2 linked regions of the Caenorhabditis elegans genome follow. The protein of the gene in region 1 interacts with the protein of each later gene in a pairwise test. Each region holds a gene or a part of one and is shown in the gene's direction. Other genes may lie near its edges.

Region 1 (5,073 bases):
TGCTGCTTTAAAGCTCACAAAGAATCTCGAGCCGCTCTCCTTGCTCAAACGGAAGATCTGTCTCTCGTTCCCCTGTGAATTTGAATGTTCCGACGACAACCTCAATGATAGGCTTCTTGTAGGCGGCCAGCAGGCTTGCCTCAGTCAAAACTCGCATTTTAAAATGATTCAACAACGCCGGAATGTCTGGAAACGACTGATTCGCGATTTTCACGCCAGCTGCAGCAGTTCCATCTTCTTTCGGTTCTCCTCTTTCAATCAAATAATGACAAACGGCATTTCCCTCGTCGGCTTCACGTACTGTCAGTGAATATTCACCGGGGCGTGAGCTATCCCGCATTAGGAAGGTGCCGATCGATACTTGTGGCTCGCCGAGCAACTTGTGAGCCTCTTCACGGCTCATTCCTGGGAAGTAGAATGAACGCCACTCGAATGGATCGAACCCGTTTGTCGTCATTTCTGAAAATGCGGGAAATTGTTTAGAAACGTGGAATTTTTAGGCGCGCAAAATTGGTCAAAGTTGGGAAAATTTTCTGGAAAACGTAACCCAAATAGACGGAAAATCATCAAAAATCACGAGAAATTCCTAAAAATCCAGAAAAAAAAGACGAAAAATCAAGAAAAATTATATAAAAGGGGAAAGTTTTTTCGGCTGAAAAATGCTTAAAATCTTGTTTTTGAGAGCGAAAATTTATGAAAATCGGCCAAAAATCACCATCTTTGAGAAGAAAACGCAAAAATCTTCAAAAAAAAAATCAAGAATTTCGTGGGAAAAAATATTTTAAAATGAATAAAAATATGATTTTCAACCTAAACATTGCTGAAAATGTGAAAAAACGGGTGAAAATTCGATTTTTTAAAGGAAAACGAGTCAATATAGGCAGAAAATTGGATGAAAAAGTTGGAAATTGAATAATAATTAGCGTGATTTTCCAAGAAAATCAAGGAATTTCCATTTAAAAAATTCAGGAAATGAACAAAAATGGATGTTTTTTTGGCTGAAAAAATGCTGAAAATCAGTTAAAAATCGGCCAAAACTTGCGTGGAAAAATCAAAAAATCAGGAATTTCGTTGGAAAAGTACCTTAAAATGGCAAAAAATAAGATTTTAAAGAAAGAAATTGCTGAAAATCGTGGTTTTGGCACAGAAAATCTAGTAATTCTAGTGAAAATTTCTGAAAAATAAATGAACATTGGAGAAAATGGTACTTTTAGGAAGAAAAATCGATTGGACACAGTGAAAATTTTCAAATTTTGGTAGGAAATGGCGAGTTTTAGGGAAAAAGAGGGCAAAATAGTTGAGTTTTTCGGCTAAATTATGGGAAAAATGAAGAATTTTTTTGAAAAACTGTGTTAAAAAATTGGAAAACATGGCGAAATCGAGAATTTCGAGCAGAATAAGCAGGTTTTTAGGCTAAAGTTCGGTTTTTAGTAGAAGAAAATTGAAAAATACGCTTAAAACCTTTATTTTCGAATATATTTCATACTAAATTTACCGATTTCTTGTTTTTATACGCATTGAAACACCAATTATTCGTAAAAATGAGGAAATTGATGAGCAATTTTCCCAGGCAATGACTCATAAGCTTCTTGTCGACTGGAGCCAAAGTTTACACATTTTAAATACGTATTTTACGATGCGCAACCGCAAAAAATCAAGAAAATCTCCGAAAACTGGTGAGAAATTGCAAACAAACGACTTTTTTTGCACGCAAAAATAAATTGTCAGCTGTTGCGCTTGTCCGAGAGGAGTACACGATGAGGTGTGCGGGGGACTTGCAACACGCGACCCCGCCCACTTTTCCGCGCCGCATTGCAATTTGAATTCGGAATTTTGCGCGAAAAGTTGCGTTTTGCGGGAAGTTTTCCGGGTTTTTTACAGTTTTTTGCTATAATTTTCAAGTTTAAAGGTTAAAATATCAAAAATCACTCAAAATTTTCCGACTTTTTCAGCAGCTTTCCATCCTCCGAGATGAGTGTCTCGTTTATGGAGTTGGGCTCGGCCGACTCGGCAGAAGCGGCGGCGAACAAGGTGGCACACCACGTCGAGCAGATGATGGAGACATCGGATTTCTTCGATCGCCTCACACAACACGGCACGACGCCCGTCTCCGGTCTCGGCGAGAAGTTTTATGTGAAGGGAGCGCCGGAGTTTGTGAGCACACGGCGAATCCCAATACCCGGAGAGCTTCAAATGCAAATGAGCAGTGAGAGAGCATTGTTTCCGATGGGGGGGTTTTTCAGCGAAAAATTGGTGAATTTTCAGATATTCACAGCGAGTTTAGCATGGGATTCTTCACACAAATCAGCCGAGTTTGGGTCGTCATTGATAACAATCTCTATATGTGGAATTACGAGACAAAGTAAGCGGAAAAGCCGAAAAATACCGAAAAAAAATCGAATTTTCAGCGACGATTTGGCGTTTTTCGACTCATCAGACGCTGCAATTCTGAAGGTGTCGCTGGTGAACATCAAGCCAGGCGTTTTTGAGCCGGAAATTCAATATGGGCTCGTTGTCGGCACAATTTCCGATATATGTCTTTATCCGGTCTTTGATTTCGTGGAAAATGGCGCCAGTAGCATTTCTATCGACTCAAAACGATGCTTCAAGGTTCGAAATTCGAGTGAAAATGGAGAAAAAAGAAGGAAGAATTACCAAGAAAACCCAAGTTTTTGAATCAAAAATCGCAAAAGTTTGGAGATTTTGAGTCTTCAAAACACGGGAAAATCGATGTTCCGTGCGATTTTTACTTAAAAATCGACAAAAAAAATTTAAACAACGGGATTTTTCGTCTATTTCTAGCTCAAATTTGCTGATAACGCTTTTCTGTTTTTTTTTCTACTCGAAAACTTGAAAATCCGAGTTTCTGACTAATTTTTTGAGTCTTCAAAGCAATTTTACATCAAAAATGCTCATTTCAAACCAAAAATTGGGGATTTCGATAATCTTCAATTTTTATTCGTTTTTTTTAGAACAATTTGTCGTTGAAAACGCTCATTTCAAGCCGAATTTTCGAAAATATGTGTTGTTTTATGCGAAAATCTCCAATTTTTCATTTATTTTCCGATAAAAAAAGCTCATTTTAAGCCTAAATTTTCCCAAAAATTGAGCTTTTCAACAATTTCTCTAGAAAATCGCAAATTTCCATTAAAAAGCTCAATTTTTTTTGCGAGAATTTTTCAAAAATGAGCTAAAATTTCGAAAATAACAGTAATTTTCGACGAGAAACTTCAATATAACACAAAAACGGTATTTTCAAGCCAAATTTTTTTCTAAAAAATTTAAAATTTTGAAAATAAACACAGTTTTTTGCGGAAATCTTCAATTTTTCATTAATTTTTCTGAAAAAAAAGCTCATTTTAAGCCAAAATTTTCCTTAAAAATCTGAAATTTCCAGCACTTTACTATAATTCCAGTACATAAAAACGCTCCTTTTAAGTCTATTTTTTTTCTAAAATTGAGCTCAAATTTTATTTTTTCACATAATTTCCAGAAAAATCTTCCATTTTCAGCAATTTCTCTAGAAAATCGTCAAATTTTTATGTTGTATCTGGCAAATCCCCATTAAAAAGCTCAATTTTAAGCCAAAATTGTTCTGAAATGAGCGAAAATTTTGAAAATATCACTAGTTTTAGACGATACTCTTTATTTTTTTTAAATATATTTTCTGAAAACGAAACCCATTTCAAGCCAAAATTATCATAAAAATCCCCAAATCGTCAATTTTTATATGAATTTCATCGCAATTTTACATTGGAAAACACTCCAAAAATTGAGCTTTTTCAGCAATTTCTCTAGAAAATCCCCAATTTTTTTTTTCAGATAGCCCTTGACGGAGCAACAGTGAATGATATTTCGTATACTTCAAATGGTCGAGTATTCTATACAGCCGACGATCAACTCTTCGAATTCGTCTACGAGAAACAAAACGGATGGTTTGGCTCCACAAATCACAAGTGTCGAGGTGTAAATCAAACTGCATCAATTCTCGGAACACTGATCTCTCTACCATTCTTCGGCTCTTCAAAAGAGCCCCTCGATCAGATTACAATCGATAAATCCCGAAATATCATGTATTTGCTCGGCCGAGCCGGCACCGTCAGTGTCTGGGATCTCGGAGCGGATGGAGCAGCTTGTGCCAAATTTTTGAGTGTTCCCATCTCGAAAATTGCACATGAAGCTCATATTCTGACGCAATTCGGTCACGATGAGACATCTTTTCACAGTATTACATCGATTAAGGCGTTGGAAGCTTCACAATCGGCTGCGCTTAACCTAGTTGCAACTACTGCCAAAGGAGTTCGATTGTACTTTTCAGTGTCGACGGGCCCGCAGTCTACGATGGCTATGTTTAATAATAGTGGAACACCTAATGAAAGAGTTCGTTTTTTAGCCGAAAATTTGGAAAAATCGGGATTTAACAAACAAGAGTAAAAAAAAAGAGTAAAAAAGTTGTATCTAGTTTTTAAACCAATGCTCTCGTCGAAAGTTTTTTACTTTAAAAAAAACCATTAAAAATTAGATATTTTCGAGCTTTCTGGGCAAAAATTGTAAAATTTTCGGCCGAAACCCAGGAAACTGAGCGATTTTTTCAAATTCACTTTTTTTGAAGCTCCAATCAATTTTAGAGCAGAATTTCAAGACTATAAAAAGTTAAAGGTGGAGTACCGAAATTTGAGACTTTCCTTTTTTTAGACCCAAAATAATCCAAAACTACCAAATTTCGTAATGAGACGTTCTGAAAATTTTTCAAAAAAAAAGTTATGGCCGCTCAAAGTTTTCGAAAAAATGGCATATTTTTAGTTAAAGCCCCGAATTTCGGCAACTTCTCGGAGTCGCAGCGGTTGGGGATCTTAATTTTTATTTGATCGTCATCTTTCAATGCATTTTTTGGCATTTTATTACTTGTTATTTCGTTGATTGAGATGGTTTTTTGGCCAATGAGGACGCAAAATTGTATCATATATGCGTCCCTATTGGCCAAAAAACATCTCTGCCAACGAAATTACACGTAATAAAATGCCAAAACGTGCATTAAAGGATGCCAATCAAATAAAAATTAATTAAGTTCTA
Region 2 (4,166 bases), on another chromosome or scaffold:
TAGAATGAGTCAGATGTTTTTTGAAAAGTACTAATCACTTGTTTTTTTCAATCAACTGTTGTTTGTAAACTTTCAGATCTTATAAAATATTTGCAATACTACTTCAATTGTTCAAATTAAGTTTTTTGAGGATATGTTCCAAGAAACTGTTTCTCTGTTTACTTTCATTCCTACTCATTTTTAGTTAGCAATTTGAGAACTTTGTATTAATGGAAACCCAAATCGAACAGATCTACTACATATGATATTTTCGTAATTTGAATTAGCAAAACTCTTTCAGTAGGGATTTATGGAAATTGGAACGTTCGAGAGAAACCAAGCTATGCTAAACCTTTAATTTTTGCCAAGTTGCTTCTATTGCTTATTTTTATAATTTTTTAAAATAATTTGGTCCAGTTTTCAGCGTTTTTTTGATAACTACAGAAATTTTCACTGTGAAATTCAATTTTTTGGTTTTATTTCAAGTCCATCAAAACAAACAAATCCACAATTAGTGTCGTGAACCCGTCGTGAACCCGTGTCGTGAGCATTCTCGATGTTCCAAGTTTCATACGTTTTTTGCAACATGCTGAAATAGACAACATTCTTCTTTTGTATTATAGATTGACATTGGTAGTCTTCAAACTCAAAAAAACCTAAAGGTGGAGTAGCGCTAGTAGGGAAAGAGTGAAAAACTATTCCTATGGTTCCAAAATGACCGAATAGCATAATAAAATGTTTCAAAATTTTTTTGAAAACTTTTTTTTTGTTTACTGTCAAAATGTGAAAATTACTCAGTTTTTGCAACTAATTTCGGAAGTCGACCAAAAAAAGTTTGTTCCTACATTTTTTATCATACTGTAACTTTGTTTTAACTATTTGTAATAGAATATTGTAGTAGTCGGAACATTCGACATAGTTATGGATTTCCTCAAAACTCACATTTTTTTCAAAATTTTGACAACTTGCCAAAACTTTGACCGGAAACTAGAAAACATCTAAAATTTGTTGGAGTTTTTTCTTATGATATTCGGTTGTTTTAGATCATTATAAGTGCATTTAGACGAAATCCCCACTGGTGCTACTCCACCTTTAAAGGTTCGGTTATTTCACATACCTGATACACTTTGAAAAATGTCAAGTCATAAATTCCGTTTATCATTATTGTTTTGGTTATTTAAAACATCAAATAACCTTCTAGTAAATATTATTGTTCAGGCATGTATGATAAAAATCTTGAACAATTTGCTAACGATCTGATTGGAAAATTAATTAGCTTTGATTTTCCAATCTTTACCAAAAAAAAACCAACAATTTAAAGTTATTATTATTTCCACGAAATAAAAATGTTTTCGAATTTTTTATATTTCCAGACGTAAAAAGAAAGTTAGCTGAAACCACCTGTTTCTTGCCAATAAATCAGTTTTTTTTTTAAATATTCACAAAAAAATCATTTGAAAGTTTGAAGCTTGTTTCAAAACATTTTGAGTGAAGCTTACTAAACAAAAGTTTTTGAAAAATGAAAACACGTCACTTTTGTGTTCGCATATACGTGATTCACCGTAAACTCCACTTTTGTAAAACTACGAAAGATACTGGCTGAAATGATAGGAAAATTCGTCGAAATATTTGAGCATCTGACTGTAAGTTGATAACGATTATACGAACTAATCACCGTTTCCATCTGCTCAAAACTCGCTGACTCACAAAGAATTTTAACAGAAATTAAGAAATGGCTCTATGTCAACTTTCAAAATTCTACAACGCCCAACTTGAGTTTCTTATCAACACTTTATTTTTTGGTCTATCTCTTGACTGAATCATACCGAAAACGGTTACATGACGTGTCGAGGAGTTCTACTGATACGAGCAAGCAAACGCTTTATTTCTCTCCACCTCTTTACTTTAAAACTAGCCTAACTCTTGTATATAACACACATTTTTCATATTTTCTATCAAGTTCACGCCGTCCCATCGACATTTAAGGTAAATATTTGAGTGTTCAATCTTATCTATGAAGCATTTTTTTCATTCCAGTTTGTGTGACATAGCACGTTGCCATTCCTTATTTCTTGAAAACTAGTTCGGGTTGTGAAATTTTCTTCCAAAATTGGTCCTTTAGTAATGTAACTTGATACATCAGGTTTTGTGAAAATATTTTGAATGCTTCAAACGACGTTTGTTGTTTTATTTTTCACTCTCCGAGTATCTAAAATCTATTCAAAAATTAAAAAAATCCGTTTTGACTTTTTGCATCTAGTTTTATCACTTCTTCCTGTGTCCCTCCCAAACTTTTACAGCCCAGTTGGCAATGGCGATAAGAAAAACACTGTTTCTGCCCACTTTGAGCATTTATTTCATCATTTTCATATTTTGGTTAAGATGTATAGTTGTCAAATGTGCAGGCTATTTTAGTATTTTGTGCTGTCGTCATTCTTACATTGAAGTGCATTCTCATTCCGTAACTAGGTGGTTGCATAGATGCCACCATGTGTTTGTCTGTCGTCAATAGAAATTTCCATATTTAGGAGAAATTGTTTTCATACTTTTTTAATACTTTTTGTCCGTCAATCTTCTGAAAAAAATATTAAAATTAAAACCATATGTTTCAGGTTCACAATGTGTCTTTCCGGACTCACCCAAATTCTCTATGGACTTATTATGGCTGGTAGTGCTATTTTAACAGCAGTTGCTTTGTTTACGCCAAGTATGTTTCATCTTTGGAGATGTTAGAAAAAGTGAATTTTCAAACTCTCAGGTTGGAATACTGTTGAAAATAATGTGAAAGATATAACTCATATCAACACATCTGAATGGAATGGCTTGATGCCTTGGTCATGTATTGGTCACTCTCAGGGAACCCAGTGTCAGGATTGGTGGGCGGTATGTTGATGAAATTATTTATATGCTCAAAAATACTGTTTTCAGAATCTTCCAGGATGGATGAAATGTGTCGTCGTCTGCATGATCCTCTCTTTGATTGTCCAAATTTTTGCAGTTGTCTACAACTTTTTGACATGGTTAGATTAGCGAAAGCCGACATTAATATAATTCAAACAACTTTCAGCCTTGCCTGCTGCTGCAAGAAATATATCATCCATCCACTCACCCTCTTTGCAGTCATCTCTACTATTCTTCTGCTCATCGCTGTTATTGTTTATGCAGCTGAATGGAATCAATTTACAAATGGAATTAATACAAACTCGCAGGTGAGAATGCTATTCTTAATGTGGGAAAAAGTGTAAAATTATTTGATTGAAACTATTAAACTTCACTAAAACTCTTTTTTTACACATGTTCTAACCCTTTAAAACCCGATTATAAAGCTTTGAGAAACCCTCCCTATCTCACATTGAACAACTTTTTGGCCAATCTGCACATACCCTAAGGCGCAAAAGCTGCTCATAAACCTTTGTTTGTACAAACTCACAACTTAATTTTTCAGCTTGGATACTCGTTTTGGCTTGCAGTTGGAGCCCTCATCTTATCTGCGGCGGATGTCATTTTGGGAGCACTAACAGTGTGTCTTGGGGAACACTGCTGTTAATTAAACTTGATTATATTTATTATTTCCCTGCATTTTCTGTGATATAAACTGCTCAGCCCAGACGTCGGCACCAATCTATTTGTTAAAGCTTTGTAAGATTTTGAACTTGGTTTTTCGCATTTAACGCCGAACTACACTGAAAAAGTGCAAACAAGACTGGCAAGATGGGGACGGCAAAAAATGTAACGGTTTTGTGTTTGTAAAAGGTCTTTTGAACTGTGGTAAGACATGTGAATATGTCTGTTCTTAGTGACACACTGACGTGTCACGAAGATCAGGAGCAATTTTTGTCGATTTTTTTCGACTTGTTGCTCCCAAGTTTGCGGCGTGGGAGGCATCACTACTGAGGCTCGGTCAAAGAACATAGTCAATTATTTCACAGTTTCTTAAGAATTTGAAAAACGCGCGCAGCGAGAAAGATCATTAGTTGAACTCGGAACATAATATGTTAGATGAAATGTAACAATGCCAAGTGTTTGAGCAAAAATTGAAAGATGTATTGTGCAACAAAGGTTGAAAAAGTGAGTCATTGTAAACATTTTGATAGAAGTAAAGATTGGTGAAAATCTTTAGATAGTGACATGAATTCTAAAAAGTTGTTTTTTCTGTGAAAGCAACTGACTGACAATTCAATATATGA

What was found.
Region 2: the proteins of npp-8 (region 1) and clc-1 interact in a two-hybrid assay, tested with the Caenorhabditis elegans proteins (one study listed by BioGRID).

What each region holds. Positions count from the first base shown.
Region 1 is NC_003282.8:1,592,704-1,597,776, reverse strand, and holds the start of npp-8 (Nucleoporin_N domain-containing protein), read left to right. Parts: upstream 1-1,952; 5' UTR 1,953-1,971; coding exon 1,972-2,206; intron 2,207-2,265; coding exon 2,266-2,362; intron 2,363-2,408; coding exon 2,409-2,610; intron 2,611-3,822; coding exon 3,823-4,380; intron 4,381-5,073. Other genes in the region: ced-2 (Cell death abnormality protein 2), read right to left, coding at 19-457.
Region 2 is NC_003284.9:11,045,645-11,049,810, forward strand, and holds clc-1 (Claudin), read left to right. Parts: upstream 1-1,801; 5' UTR 1,802-1,965; intron 1,966-2,591; 5' UTR 2,592-2,598; coding exon 2,599-2,686; intron 2,687-2,737; coding exon 2,738-2,862; intron 2,863-2,907; coding exon 2,908-2,999; intron 3,000-3,046; coding exon 3,047-3,188; intron 3,189-3,424; coding exon 3,425-3,526; 3' UTR 3,527-3,631; downstream 3,632-4,166.